Saccharomyces cerevisiae S288C: one gene and its partners. Changing the gene in region 2 together with the main gene of any one other region gives a genetic interaction. Each region holds a gene or a part of one and is shown on either strand. Other genes may lie near its edges.

Region 1 (5,315 bases), on a different chromosome or scaffold from region 2:
TCCTAAAAAGCAGCCCACACAAGAAAGTAGATATAATGTAGGACACCCAGCTTGTCCATAATTGCTAATAGCATACTCAGGATAACATATATTAATGACGACTCGTTTGCTCCAACTCACTCGTCCTCATTACAGATTATTATCCCTACCTCTCCAGAAACCCTTCAATATAAAAAGGCAGATGTCCGCTGCGAACCCTTCTCCATTTGGCAATTATTTGAACACGATCACTAAGTCCCTACAACAGAATTTACAAACATGCTTTCATTTCCAAGCAAAAGAAATCGATATAATCGAATCTCCATCTCAGTTTTACGATCTCTTGAAGACAAAAATACTTAATTCACAAAATAGAATATTCATTGCGTCTCTGTATTTAGGCAAAAGCGAGACTGAGTTGGTGGACTGCATATCCCAGGCATTGACCAAGAACCCCAAGTTGAAAGTTTCTTTTCTACTTGATGGCCTTCGAGGAACAAGAGAATTGCCTTCCGCCTGTTCCGCCACTTTATTATCGTCTTTAGTAGCCAAATATGGGTCAGAGAGAGTGGATTGCCGATTGTACAAGACGCCTGCTTATCATGGTTGGAAAAAAGTCTTGGTTCCCAAGAGATTTAATGAAGGTTTAGGCTTACAACATATGAAAATATATGGGTTTGATAACGAGGTCATTCTTTCGGGAGCCAACCTTTCGAACGACTATTTCACCAACAGACAAGATAGATACTATCTCTTTAAATCTCGAAACTTCTCCAACTATTATTTTAAATTACATCAACTCATAAGTTCCTTCAGTTATCAGATTATAAAGCCAATGGTGGATGGTAGCATCAACATCATTTGGCCAGATTCGAATCCTACTGTTGAACCGACGAAAAATAAAAGGCTGTTTTTAAGGGAAGCATCTCAATTACTAGATGGCTTTTTAAAGAGTTCTAAACAAAGCCTCCCGATTACTGCCGTGGGTCAATTCTCCACATTAGTTTACCCAATTTCTCAATTCACTCCACTTTTTCCCAAATATAATGACAAATCGACCGAAAAAAGAACAATATTGTCATTGCTTTCCACTATAACAAGCAATGCCATTTCTTGGACGTTCACTGCAGGATACTTCAATATTTTGCCAGACATCAAAGCAAAACTGCTGGCAACGCCGGTTGCTGAGGCAAATGTAATAACAGCTTCCCCCTTTGCAAACGGCTTTTACCAATCAAAGGGCGTCTCATCAAATTTACCTGGTGCTTACTTGTACCTGTCAAAAAAATTTCTACAAGATGTATGTAGGTACAGACAAGATCATGCTATTACATTAAGAGAATGGCAAAGAGGCGTAGTAAATAAGCCGAATGGTTGGTCATATCACGCAAAAGGTATTTGGCTTTCCGCTCGTGATAAAAATGATGCTAACAATTGGAAACCCTTTATCACGGTTATAGGATCTTCAAACTATACGAGAAGGGCGTATTCATTAGATTTGGAATCGAATGCTCTCATTATTACAAGAGATGAAGAGCTAAGAAAAAAAATGAAAGCAGAGTTAGATAATTTATTACAATATACAAAACCTGTAACTCTAGAAGACTTTCAATCAGACCCAGAAAGACATGTTGGCACTGGTGTAAAGATAGCTACCTCCATTTTGGGTAAAAAACTTTAGATTCTATTCTATCATAGTATGTCGCCTGTAAATATGGAAAAATAAAAGAAAAAATAGTAATAATAAATGCATTATCTAAAACTCCTTAAATTTGCAAACATCGCAAAGCCATTAAGGTAGAGAATGAGCTGACCTTGTTATAGTTTTCCTTTTGGCAACCGTGGTTTCCGTCCTACGTAAACATACTGAACTTGACAAAGTATGACCAATAAGGTGACAAATTGTATCAATTTTACCCAAAAGGGCGTTGAATTAAATGGTATCTCGTAAAACAATGCATTGGTCGGTATTACCAGTCTACCTAATAAATCGATAGATTCAGCCAAAAATGATATCAATGCAAACTTTGATGATAAACCTACTGTTGAGCATCCCATCCAGTTTATACTCATTTGAGGCACATACTTGAAACATTTAAGCAGATTTGCCATTACCCACAAATAATTTATGTGTTCCAAATAGAAAACGCCAAATTTACCTGAATTTTTCAACGGTAAATTAGAGATGGAACAGCCATATGTAAATATGCCTAATACAAGGAACACACTTATAATTATTATGGAAGTAATGGAAATGCCCTGATAAATATGTTTAGTTGACCTATAATAGTATAACTGCCTTAAAACCATCATGCAGCAACAGGAAACGCAAAAATCTTTTAGAATGAGGAAACTGGATATAGGTATACTACGGGCATCATTCAACGGATAAAAAAGTGGGAATCTTTGAGACAGTTGTTCCCTCACCAGAGATGAATAACAATAATGCAACGCGCAATACAAGTACAGACCATTACCAACAAAATCTAGCAGAAATAAATCATATGAAAGCCCGTAAATAGATCGATGAAGTTTATTATAGCGCTTTTGACATAGAATGGCGATGATCTATGTAAGAAATGGAAGTTTTCTCCCTTAGTTAGTCAAACCTTTCATGTATACTTTCTCCTTCAATTATGCATACTGATAAAAAACCTGCCAAGCCCTGCAGAACAATAACAAGCATGTGAATGATTCAATATAATTGCTTCGCAGGGCTCCTCAACCTCTCCTCTGGAAAACCTTACCTCAATGAGGTTAAAAATTGTGGGTTTTTCGTTCGCAGAGGAAAAAAAAACTTGTCAAAACACGCCTCTGCAGTAGAACACGAATTATACATAAGAAAAATAACGATACAAGAAAGGCGATTTCGATTTGGGACTAAGTGTTACACGAAAGGCATAGAGTATCAAAAAAAGGAAGCAAGATGGATTACGATAGCTCTGATACAATGAACGGTGGTTCAAGTAACCCCTTAATCACTAAGATGAATACAATGAAATTATTATATCAACACTATTTGGATAAAGTCACTCCTCACGCTAAGGAGAGGTGGGCTGTATTGGGTGGTTTGTTATGTTTGTTTATGGTTCGTATTACAATGGCCGAAGGCTGGTATGTGATTTGTTATGGTCTAGGTCTATTTTTATTGAATCAATTTTTAGCCTTTTTGACCCCAAAATTCGATATGTCCTTACAGCAAGATGAAGAAAACAACGAATTGGAAGCTGGAGAAAAATCAGAAGAATTCCGTCCATTCATCAGAAGATTACCAGAGTTCAAATTCTGGTATAACAGCATTAGAGCCACTGTCATTTCCCTCTTGTTGTCGCTATTTTCAATCTTCGATATTCCAGTATTTTGGCCCATCTTATTGATGTATTTCATATTATTGTTTTTTTTAACTATGAGAAGGCAGATTCAACATATGATAAAATATAGATATATACCCTTAGATATCGGTAAGAAGAAATATTCTCATTCTTCTAACTGATATACCCTGACTCCACATACCTATTCAACGAACACATTCGTATCTTAATTATATGTAAACAAAATTATATGATAGTTACAGAATAATTGTGATTATTTTCTCCTTCTACTCATCTTCTCTTATATTGGAAGAATACATGAAGTTATTGATTAAGCAAAATTGAAGGGAAGAGGCTCATTTTCTTCCATTTATAAATGGAGAGCTTGAGATGCCTCCAATTGATAAATTTTTGTAAAGACTTTCAAGAAACATGTCTAAAAAGAATTGACAGCTTCGAACCTTTCTGCATAATTACTAATACCAAATTAGTGAGAAATGGGGTATGTCGAGGAATAAAGGATGCAAAAGAGAGAGTAATGTCATGCAAGTTGTGAGTTTGAAATGTTCACACGTTTATAATGTCCATACTCCGTGGCGTGCATGTGTTTTAGTGTATTAGTTTTCCAAGTTATTAAAGAACTTAGTAAATTTATCATCGAACGCATTTTGATTAAGTGGCACAATAGACTTCAATGGAAAATGAAAATCATATCTGTAGCAAAAACGACAGCGAAGATAACGGTTACACAATTATCACGTTGATTCGTCAACTTAAAGATGACCTTTTTACAATTTATCAATAATAATAGACAAGAAGGACAAGGTTATATTTCAGAAAAATTATTCAAAACTAAGAAGAATGAGATGATAAGAAAAACAGTTACCAATTTAGTAGCTGTAAGATTAAAAAACTTATCCCACGAATTTGATGTAATAGAGAATTATCTGCGCTATATAGCTAGCACCAGTGAACATCTATTTACTGCTATTAAGCGCCACTTTAACAAATGTGCCAGAAAACTTTTGAAAGAAGCAATCGACTCCAAATCAAACTCAGAAACTGCTACGGTGGTTCTGCAAGAAGGATTTTCTGGCATTTGCTTATTGAAAGCGTCTTCAATTATATTAAAACTAAAATTGAAGTTTCCAAAAAAGAAAGATAGAACTGATATTAGCAAATTGTGTGACAAGAAAGAACGGATGACACAGTGGTTAGAAATTTCAATTTTGATGAACTGAGAATAATAATATTATGCTCCCCTGGATTTTATGCGAAGACACTGCTGAAAAAATTTCTGATATATGCAGAGAAGGAGCAAATAAGCCAGTTTTAAGGAACCGAGATAAGCTGTTTTCGCCCATTGTTCTAGTTCTACAAAATATCTACAGGGAATCGATGAGGTTGTAAGAAATCCTGAATACTCTATGATAGTGCATAACACTAAAAAGTTGAAAGAATCCCGTATCATGGACGATTTCCTTGAACATTTGAGCAAAGACGATAACAAAGCATGGTATGGCGCGGAAGAAACCGAGAGAGCTGCAAAATTAGATGCAATAGAAACACTACTTATTACAGATAGTGTACTAAAAAGGAACGACGTGAAAAAACGTGAAAAATACCTAGACCTAATAGAGAATAGTGGAAACAACAATGGCAAAATATTCGTACTCAGTACTTCAAAAATCACAGTGAGCAACTTGACAAACCAACAGATATAGGCTGTGTCTTAAAATATACCATCCAATACCTTGATGAACTTTTCAAAGATGACTAAAATAAGTGAAATTTCAACATTAACTTCGAATTTTTTTCTTTTTATCTAACACTTGTCAAACAGAATATAAGGATTACTTGTCTTCTTTGCTACATATTGCTACCACTTCTATTACACAATAGTTTCAATAGCTTGCAGCGTAGCTAAACTCTAAAATTTATCTAAATCACTCATATAAACCGAACCCTTCCCCTTCCGCTTATAGTACAGTACCTATACATTTCATAAACATGGCATGGCGATCA
Region 2 (5,094 bases):
CCCCTTTCTTGTTGATTTATGACCTTTTGAGGTAAATTGCCTCCTACTTTCTTCTTCTCCTCCTCATGAAATAGGGTACTATCAGGTGGGGGATGGACTTGAGCTTTGATGCCAGTCATTTTTCTTGACTTTCAATGCGTAGCTCTACTTATTTTCTTTCTAGCAATATTGCGTATGTCAATAAACAAAGCTAGCTAATGATGCTCTTTATATTGTTAAGAAGAAAACTGATTAAATTAAGTAACGCTAAAAAGCAAAGTTGTCTATCAAAGTGAAATGTATCGCAATTGGAAAAGGTAAGTGCAATTCTAAAGGATGTAAGGTACAATTATCCCTTTTTCCCTTTCTGACTGCAGCAGTGTGTTGTAAAGGTATACATACATTCTCGTATTGTTGTTTCTCCCCCTTCTCGCGCTGGCGAAGAAGTGAAAAAAAAAAATAAAAAAATGGAAATTTCGGACGATCGTCATTTTGAAAATACATAGTGAGCCAATATTATACTAGGAGTATATATATTTAGAGGCCAGTTCTGCTCTCTTGTCAATTGCCCGGGCGAGCTGCTCGGTCGTAAACAAGCTAGTGTCATTGATTTTTTTTAGGAAGAGGTGGTGGTAGTTTCGATTCAGGTCGCAAAGACGGAATGAACAGTACACCAACTGCAGGCAAACGGAGTCACTCAGCTTGATGCTATTTAACCCACGAGTGAGGTCTTTTAATACGTATGTTATGCACTTATCAACGAATTGCAACATGACTGCATTTGTAGGTATTTTGTTTTCCCTTTTTGAAGTCCGAATCTTTTTGCTTGGCTCCTCTGGGGTCACTTCAACCTTATTAATTTCTTCTTCTTCTTTTTCTGCCTTGTTATCTATGCTTTTGCTTGGCTCTTCTGGGGTCACCTCAACCTTATTAATTTCTTCTTCCTCTTTTTCTGCCTTGTTATCTTTGGTATTTACTTCTTCCTCTTTTTCTTTTTCAGCCTTGTCTTCTGTTTTGTTTACTGTTTCATTTTCTATCTCATTTTCTGTTTTCCTTTCTGCTCCATCATCTTCGCCTTCCACTTTGCCTTGTACTTCCTCTTGTACATCTTCTATCGATTTATTTTCTGTCACATCTTCTTCATTGTTCGCTACGCTATCTTGTTTTTGATATTCTTCCTTCTTTGTTTCTTTCTCCTTTTCTTCAATTTCTTTCTCTTCGTTAGTCCCATTTATCCTTAGCACAGTACTTTCTAGTTCCTCTGGGAAAGGAATCTCTAAGTCATTTGTATCATACAAGAAGCTTTTCAGAAAGACATTCAAGGACATGTAGACATGTTCCCTGAGGACTTCAATTTTCCTCTTAACCATCATTTCAATTAAAGATTCATTAGAAGACTCAACGTCCAAAGGATATGATGCTATTTCATCGGTAATGAATTTGTATCTCATGGCTAAAAACACACTTAATAATGATTTATTAGTCTTTCCATCAAATGGTGGAATTGAATTCAAGTACTGTAGTATTTTCTTTAGTGAGTTTACTGATACATTAGTAGACAGTAATTTTACCAGCCCGGATAACATGGTAGTACTAATTTCGTTTAAAACTTTTTCGCAAACTTCATCCACAATGGTTGAACCAGGGAATCTTGACCTCAGGGAAGTAGTGTGTGTGTATAGCATGACGGCCTCCTGGTAATGACCTGTTCTGATACATGTGCGGGCCAAAAATGGTAGTTCCATCAAATCCGTAATGCTATCCAAATTTTCTAGTACAGTGACTAATGTGTCAGATCTAATGTCGTCCTTGTCATCTTCTTTAGTTGAAATTCTGTTTCTTAACCTACTTAATGCCTTGTGAAACTCATCCTCCTTCTTCTTTCTTGCCAGATTGTTACTCTCAGTCGTCATGATGCGACCTGTGTCGTTGTCTTCTTTATCGTCTTCCAAAAAGTCATCAATAGAAACGCTTTCATTGTTTATATCGTCATTTGTAACGTTTCGATCGGCTGCCTTATTAATATTAGTATCCAATTCCCATAATTGCTCCAAAGACTTGGCTATATCATCCAATTGAGCCCTATCATCGTTTTCAAGAATATTTCCGATAATCTGAGACGTATTATCTAGTAGTGTTTTCCTTATCTTTCTATCAAGGGCAGATAATTCAGCATCAATTTCTGCTATGTCTTCAGTTATGCTACCAGGAACAGCCCTAGATGAAAAATAACTTTCATAGTCTTTCGTGTTAGATTGTAGGATATCCTGTAGGAAATCAAGACTTAACCGTTTTTGTTCCTCTGTTAAATCATCAGAAATGAGGCTGTTTAGTATCAGCTCCATTTTACTCAATGATTATGTTTATTGTTGAAATATGTTCCCTCAAATGTCCTAACACTTCTATGATTATTTTTTCTGTGCTTCTCTTTTCAGTATGTTACTACGCTATATTTTTAGACATTGAAGCCATGATCGCGAGATCGATCTAATGTACGTATAAAAAGAAAATGGACTTCAAGAGTACAACTAACTAAAGGAAAATCCAACTCTTCCTATAAATTTAGAATTAGCATATTCAAAAAAGAAGAAACAAAGCACTCACGATGGGGGTCGAACCCATAATCTTCTGATTAGAAGTCAGACGCGTTGCCATTACGCCACGCGAGCTAAATTTCTTGAATTGTTGGGTAAACAAATATTACTAATACAAATGTTATTAGAAACCAAAAATGCACTTTTCCGGGGTTAATATATATGATTGAGTGATGGATGAAGAATGAGATAATTGTTTAAATTCTATAGTTGTCAAGCGCTGTGATACCAGATACACAAAATGTACTAGAGGTTCTCCTCGAGAATATGAAAATCCACAATAGAGAACCGATATTTCTGTGTAGGAATATTATTATTTCTTCTTTCATTTTGTATGTTCTCGTTCATTTTCCTAGCACATTATCAACCCTTTCATTTCAATTTCCATTAAAATTGGTGACTGTTTCTCAATATTTATTTGACCGTCTTATACCCAATATGGTAATATACCAGTAATATAAATACTAGTCGTTAGATGATAGTTGCTTCTTATTCCGAAAATGAGTATGGAAGTGTTGCATATGATAGGGCGGCTACAGTGATGGTAAACATAAGATACTTTAGCGGGAAATTAGCAACTGGAAGTTAAATTATCTAGACATAAGTGTGGCGGTCACGCTGAACGCAGGAGATCGGATAGATTGATAAGCTGATCAAGAACATTGATCGGTTTGTTGTTTAAAGAATGGTTTTTGAAAACGTTTGACCAGTTGCTTCTCCCAGACGCTTACCGATATGATGATAAAGATAATATCTTCAATTGAATACCCCGTGGATCAGCACGAATAACAGAAAAAAAGGGTGAAATTCACCGTAAGCATGATACGCACTACGTTCTTCTTACCTTTGCCAACGTGTTGTCTTTGACGTACGTAATTATGGGAGATCGTTGATGATTAGCCCCAGCTCACTTTCTTCTTAATGACTGACCCGCTACTATCAAAATTAAGGTGTCAAATATCATGATGAATGAGGTCTCTAGGCGACTCAATTATACATCTTTTAGAGATTTTTTTACTACTTGCAGATAATTTCTCAAGGGATTAGATTCAAATCTGGCTTGTCAATTACGCCCTTTTCAAGCTCATCAAATTGCGTATGTCATTCATGCTTCCATTAGGAACCATAGAAGCATGGCTGAAATGGCAATATACGGCTTCCCAATTTCAACTCTAAAGTAATGGCGGTCGAATTTAATCTATATTTTACAGTTTTATACGTACTTTAAAAGCAATCAGTAAACACCTCTGGTGCTATTCAAGGGTTTTTTGCCTTTATTTGTTACTGTCAATTGTCTGGCGCTGTGATAAAAAACAAGGCATAAAGCTCCCCCGTCATGAACATTAAGACTCGCTAGACGAGAGAGTGAAATATAATGCATTTCCTGATTTAAATGCGCTACAAACATGGTGTAAATCTGGCCCGGAGTGAGTGCTTGCCAATTTGGCTTCTAAGGGAGAAAGATCAAACCACTCCCAATTGCGTCATTTTGAAAGAGTGGCCACCTCGCGAGCGTCTGTCGAACTAACTGATGAATAAATATATAAGGAGAAAATCACTTCAACTTCGCTACAAGTAGTCACTATTTGTAGCAACTGTAAACGAACACATCAAAGAATAAGATTACATTCTATATCTAAGACTAAATTTTAAATGTCCGCTAAATCGTTTGAAGTCACAGATCCAGTCAATTCAAGTCTCAAAGGGTTTGCCCTTGCTAACCCCTCCATTACGCTGGTCCCTGAAGAAAAAATTCTCTTCAGAAAGACCGATTCCGACAAGATCGCATTAATTTCTGGTGGTGGTAGTGGACATGAACCTACACACGCCGGTTTCATTGGTAAGGGTATGTTGAGTGGCGCCGTGGTTGGCGAAATTTTTGCATCCCCTTCAACAAAACAGATTTTAAATGCAATCCGTTTAGTCAATGAAAATGCGTCTGGCGTTTTATTGATTGTGAAGAACTACACAGGTGATGTTTTGCATTTTGGTCTGTCCGCTGAGAGAGCAAGAGCCTTGGGTATTAACTGCCGCGTTGCTGTCATAGGTGATGATGTTGCAGTTGGCAGAGAAAAGGGTGGTATGGTTGGTAGAAGAGCATTGGCAGGTACCGTTTTGGTTCATAAGATTGTAGGTGCCTTCGCAGAAGAATATTCTAGTAAGTATGGCTTAGACGGTACAGCTAAAGTGGCTAAAATTATCAACGACAATTTGGTGACCATTGGATCTTCTTTAGACCATTGTAAAGTTCCTGGCAGGAAATTCGAAAGTGAATTAAACGAAAAACAAATGGAATTGGGTATGGGTATTCATAACGAACCTGGTGTGAAAGTTTTAGACCCTATTCCTTCTACCGAAGACTTGATCTCCAAGTATATGCTACCAAAACTATTGGATCCAAACGATAAGGATAGAGCTTTTGTAAAGTTTGATGAAGATGATGAAGTTGTCTTGTTAGTTAACAATCTCGGCGGTGTTTCTAATTTTGTTATTAGTTCTATCACTTCCAAAACTACGGATT
Region 3 (5,365 bases), on a different chromosome or scaffold from region 2:
TAGGGTTCACTGAAAGATAATCAATCAAATTATCATATGACCAATGGGTCACTTTTTTGATGAGACCCATGTTTATTCTTCTATACGTTCGTGATACTGCACTTACGACTACCAGTAACATCAGAATAACCATAGAGCTTATGCTATCTTGAAATATATCATCGCCGTAAAGTATGATGTGTAGCGCATTAGTCTTCTGCATTCATATTATCAGTGGTATACCGTTTGGTATATGCTTTCCAATCATGAAGTGTTGGCTCTACTCTATATAAATTCGACATCCATTGATTTTCTCAATAAATGAGTTACCCAAGTAAGCTTTCCATTGATACAAGTGATCTACATTCTTGCGACGCCAAATTATAAAGCACTAAAAATCATATCATACCCAATTGCGGGCAGCACATGTATATATTATACACTACTTATAACTAACCTTCTTCATATATAACAATATGCCTGATAATACTAATGCATTTAAATCATATCATGAAAGAAAATTACATGGGTTTTATTGACATAATTGCATTTAGAATACATAAAATTCTAAAGAATTAATATATCCAAAGTATTAGACATAACCAAGAATAATAGTGAATAATTTTAGATTTTGTTACATATAATTCTGCTTGCCTATCTCTTCCACTCTTTTCAAAACGTTGCATGTAAGCGTTACTAATATTCCGCTTTATTTTGTTGCAATTCCTAATTTTTTCATTACATTATCTTGCGAGTACGGAAGCGATTAACGTTCTCCCAATAGAAGGAACAAACATAGATATTGAAGTTTTACTGCTTTTGCTTACCTGACCTTTTTCAAATTTAATTTTTTCCCGCTAATAAGACCATAAACTACCCCGAACCAAATTCTAAAAGATAGTCAGCTGGATTAGAGTTGTCATCTCCAAACATTAATTTTGCATTATCTTCGGCTTCAATCAAATCGCCTGATAAGAACTCCTTTAATTCTTCATGAATGTTTGTATGTGGATGACTCTCCATAGTGCCAGCATGATTGTGGTTACCGACCGAATCATATAACGGTGGCTCCCAATTGTGCAATTCAGCCTTACTATTTTGTTCATTCATCAAAGCATTTGGGACAGATCTAATATCTATAATTCTTTCCTCACTATTCTCGCTATTATTTTGCCCCGAACTGGCATGGTGGTTATTGGTAAAAGGAGATAATGCTGCGACAGAACTTTTCTTCTCTTCCAATTCTTTTATCTTCGCCAATAACGCCTTCTTTTTTCGTGCTTGTATTTCTAAAATTTCGGCCAGGTATTGTAAATATTCGACCGTTCTATCCAAAATGATACCCTTATTTGGTTTGATTTGTTTACCTAGGTCATCGTAATTCAATAAAGATGGTGGAACCAACTGGCCGAGTTCTTTTATCTTTTGCTTTATTAATTCTCTTCTTCTCCTTTCGACGGCATTATGAAACTCTCTTTTGCGCCTCAGTTTCTCATCAGAAGTTAACCCGCCTAAAATCTTTGGAACACTTCCAGGTCCTATATTTTCAGTCATATTGCTACTTATTGAAGTGTGTCTTGTTCTGGGTGTGTTTATGCTACCATGCCTAAAAGAAGATGAAAGGAAACTTCCTGCACGAAATGACGATGATGGTGATCTTACCTTTGGGGAATATGTGGAAGATACGGATGCTGGGCCCAAGCTTTGTGGATTATAAGAAAATGATGATGAATATGTGTTTGGTGTCATCATATCAGAATTGATGCTAGAAGATAAAGAGGAGCTCAAATCATCAGTTAAGTTATACATTGTGTCATCGGTGCCATGCTGAAATAAAAAGTCATGTGGTAACTCAGCTTTTAAGCCTTCTTGTTGCTGTAATGGAGTATTCATTGCTCTATCCACAGGTGAGTCGTAAGCCATAGAATAAGATGATCTCAAGGGACCCTGCCCTATGGAAGATATGGAATTTTGAGTGACAGGTCTACCGCCTTGGCTTGTTCTAAACATATCATCCAGGTAAGACGATTGCGATTCTGCTTCCTCATATATGGTCGAAGCTGTAGGAGTTTGTGAATTGGACCTCGCTTGACTGCCCATTAAGTTATTATTATCGTTAGAGTTGTGCGTATTGATGTATGAGAGTTTTTCATGCTGTTGGGCAGGAGTCTCACCACCTGGGTAGGCACTTCCGTGTATCTTGTAATCATCATTGTGGTGTGGAGTGGGTGTCACTAACGAAAAATCTAAAGTTTCCTGGAGGACTTTTGTCTGGTTCATTAATTCGTCCAGTAGACGTTGGTTCTCAGCCTCACTTTCGTTATTGTTCATCATTCTTCACTTATTTAAGAAGTAGGTTCGCCTGACAAAAAATAAGAGTATTCTATTAAAGGATACTTGTCAACTAAGTAATGTGAATGCAGTAATGTCGTTTTTGTTATCTTATATATGCTCACGTAAGACAGAAATTCGGATTGTGAAAAATTCCTTGATGATTCCGTGCAGCCTCTAGCCAAAATAGCAACTGCGAGTAAAAAATAATGTACTAACCTGCAGTAATATTGGAGATCCTACTGTCCGGACCGAGTAGTACAATTGTTAGTTTCTGTTGCTCATAAGAAGGCTTTTCTAATCACCATGGCTTTATTATTTCAAAAGTAACTTGCGAAGAGTCACATCCCGCGGAACGGCCCGCAATCGTGACCCGGCAAAAGGCGATTGTAATGAAGAGGGAGTATTGGTCAAGACTTGTACTATACTGAAATAGGAAGAAGATTGAATAAATTTGCATTCTAATTGCGTTCGGTAGTTTAGAGTAGGACTTAGATTACCTGTATTGTCTGCAGTTGCGTTTTTTTTTTTTGCTGGTAAAAAAAAAGAACAAGTGTGGAGAATATGAGCGAGGAACCACCTTCTGACCAGGTCAATAGTCTCCGTGACTCATTGAATCGATGGAATCAAACAAGACAGCAGAACTCGCAGGGTTTTAATGAATCTGCGAAGACATTGTTCTCAAGCTGGGCGGATTCTCTCAATACCAGGGCCCAGGATATATATCAGACGTTGCCTGTATCTAGACAGGACTTGGTGCAAGACCAGGAGCCGTCGTGGTTCCAATTGTCAAGAACGGAAAGAATGGTACTTTTTGTCTGTTTTCTTTTGGGTGCAACAGCCTGTTTCACTCTTTGTACTTTCCTTTTCCCCGTTCTAGCCGCTAAACCAAGAAAGTTTGGTTTACTATGGACAATGGGGTCCCTACTATTTGTTCTTGCGTTTGGGGTACTTATGGGACCACTCGCGTACTTAAAACATTTGACTGCAAGGGAAAGGCTGCCTTTTTCGATGTTCTTTTTCGCCACATGCTTCATGACGATTTATTTCGCAGCCTTTTCCAAGAACACGGTGCTGACTATTACATGTGCTCTTCTTGAATTAGTTGCCGTCATTTATTATGCTATTTCATATTTCCCATTCGGTGCAACAGGTTTGAGGATGTTAAGCTCTGCTGGTGTCAATTCGGCAAGAGGTGTTCTGCGCATCTGAATTATCATTCATAGTGCATATTGAATTGATTAGTTGAAGAAGAAAAATAATGTTTATGTTATAAGAAACAATAATAAAGAGATTTATAACCTAACCTAATTAAATAGCATGTAGTCAACAAAAAGGGAGTAAAACATGCAGTGGCTCTATATATATAATTATCGTAGAATAATTCAAAAAAAAATAAAAAACGAAAAAATTCATTCTTCATCACTCATCAAAGGCACTATTTCGTCATAACGCGGAGGCTCGTTACCATGAGAGAGTAGCGAATCTGCGGAGCTCGAACTTACTATTCCTTCTTGTTCTTCATCATCTTTTACATTCGCTAAAGTGTAACCCTTTTTGAAAAATTCGTTCTGTTTGTCCTTAGAGTTTTCAGTGGTAGCGTTTGGAATCCTCACAGTACCATTTGCTTGTGATAAGCCATTTGTTGGTGATGAATTGTGAGATCTATTGACGGGCGATGGAGTGCTCAATAATTTATCGAGATTATTGAATCTTGACCTGTCATTCACTGACGTTGCTCTTGCTCTAGCAACACCTTGGCCACTATTGCCCGAAACAAATGCGGAATTCGAAATACTGCCGTTCATGGCATTGGCATTTGAAATACTGTTCCGATTAACATTTGGCACACCGGCATCATCGCTGTATCCGGATGGCCCACTAACTGACGTAGTTCTTGATAAGTTCAATTGTTGAATAGATAGTAAATCAGGGTCATACGAGGCCATGATATTAGGTGATCCCATCGGTGAGACAATGGGAGAAGCTGGAACGGATATGGCTTCTTCAAAAGTTGGCGGAGGTGGACATGTGTTACCAAAAAAGTCGCTGTTCATACTTAGAGGAACCTGGTTGCCTTTGCCTTCCATTGTGGCCATATCATAAGTGGGTAACTCCATATTACCACTGTTGCACTGTTCAGACACCAGGAATATGGGCGTATCGATTAGAACCTCATAATGTCTTAATTTGGACGGACACTCAGGATCAGGTTTACTGATTCGTAGCATAATTTCCAGCTTATGTCTACAGTAAACATTACTGAAGTGTAAACTATCCAAGTACAAGCCTCTTTTCGGTGTGTTTAATCTGGTATGTGTTTTCACGGGCAAACCAGAATTGGATTTGATTATTGTTTGATGGAATTTTGGATCATAAACAGGTTTTTCATTTTCTTCATGACTTTTCGAGCCTTTATGACCGGATAAAAAGCCTATTACACTGGGACGACGGTGTGAGGGTCCATTGGCTACGGCATGTTCGGGATTGGGGATGCTCGTGTATGCATCGATACCATAAGGTGGTATTATCTTTGCGGTTCTTTTATCCAAATCTTCGTATTTGGGGAACTTCAATTTTGTTTCAATAATTATTGGTTCCGTTATACCGAGCCTTTCTTTCGGATTGCCTTTTGAATCGCTGTCGTCATCAAAAGGACTATAAGATAAGAGATTGTCATTGAATGAATTTTCAACAATTTCCTCCCTTAGAGCTCTCGTGCCCTTCTCCTTAGTTCTGATTTCAAATAATGATACACTTCTTTCCTTTCTTCTCTTGGAGGCGAAATCTAAATAATACGGATTATAAGGGTCTTTAGCAACGGGATCTGTTTGATCATACTCATATTCATAACCTTTACTAACAAATGTGACTCTTTCAGTAATACTGACATGAATACGTTTAACACAAACGTTTTTGCATATCGGTGCCAATTTTATCTTGATTGGGACTTCACTGTTTAGTGAAACGTATTTCTGAGCAAAGGAAATCTCGTATGACAAAGAATCTGTCCAAACCCTATTAATATAGATTGGTTTATTCGCAGTGGATACGG

What was found. A genetic interaction does not mean that the proteins touch.
Region 1: mutations in COG8 (region 2) and RER1 together harm fitness more than expected from each alone (negative genetic interaction), as found in Saccharomyces cerevisiae (5 studies listed by BioGRID, with this or other methods).
Region 3: mutations in COG8 (region 2) and SFT2 together harm fitness more than expected from each alone (negative genetic interaction), as found in Saccharomyces cerevisiae (5 studies listed by BioGRID).

Annotation. Positions count from the first base shown.
Region 1 is NC_001135.5:109,011-114,325, forward strand, and holds RER1 (protein retrieval receptor), read left to right. Parts: upstream 1-2,905; coding exon 2,906-3,472; downstream 3,473-5,315. Other genes in the region: PGS1 (CDP-diacylglycerol--glycerol-3-phosphate 3-phosphatidyltransferase), read left to right, coding at 95-1,660; YCL002C (uncharacterized protein), read right to left, coding at 1,798-2,547, 2,624-2,665; YCL001W-A (uncharacterized protein), read left to right, coding at 4,070-4,531; YCL001W-B (uncharacterized protein), read left to right, coding at 4,760-5,014. UniProt on the Saccharomyces cerevisiae protein: Involved in the retrieval of endoplasmic reticulum membrane proteins from the early Golgi compartment. Required for correct localization of SEC12, SEC71 and SEC63 in the endoplasmic reticulum.
Region 2 is NC_001145.3:129,249-134,342, forward strand, and holds COG8 (Golgi transport complex subunit COG8), read right to left. Parts: upstream 2,325-5,094; coding exon 501-2,324; downstream 1-500. Other genes in the region: TCB3 (Tcb3p), read right to left, coding at 1-119; DAK1 (dihydroxyacetone kinase), read left to right, coding at 4,227-5,094. UniProt on the Saccharomyces cerevisiae protein: Acts as a component of the peripheral membrane COG complex that is involved in intra-Golgi protein trafficking.
Region 3 is NC_001134.8:21,224-26,588, forward strand, and holds SFT2 (Sft2p), read left to right. Parts: upstream 1-2,874; coding exon 2,875-3,522; downstream 3,523-5,365. Other genes in the region: SEA4 (Sea4p), read right to left, coding at 1-70; RTG3 (Rtg3p), read right to left, coding at 853-2,313; ECM21 (Ecm21p), read right to left, coding at 3,723-5,365. UniProt on the Saccharomyces cerevisiae protein: Nonessential protein required for the fusion of transport vesicles derived from the endocytic pathway with the Golgi complex. Can be partially replaced by GOT1.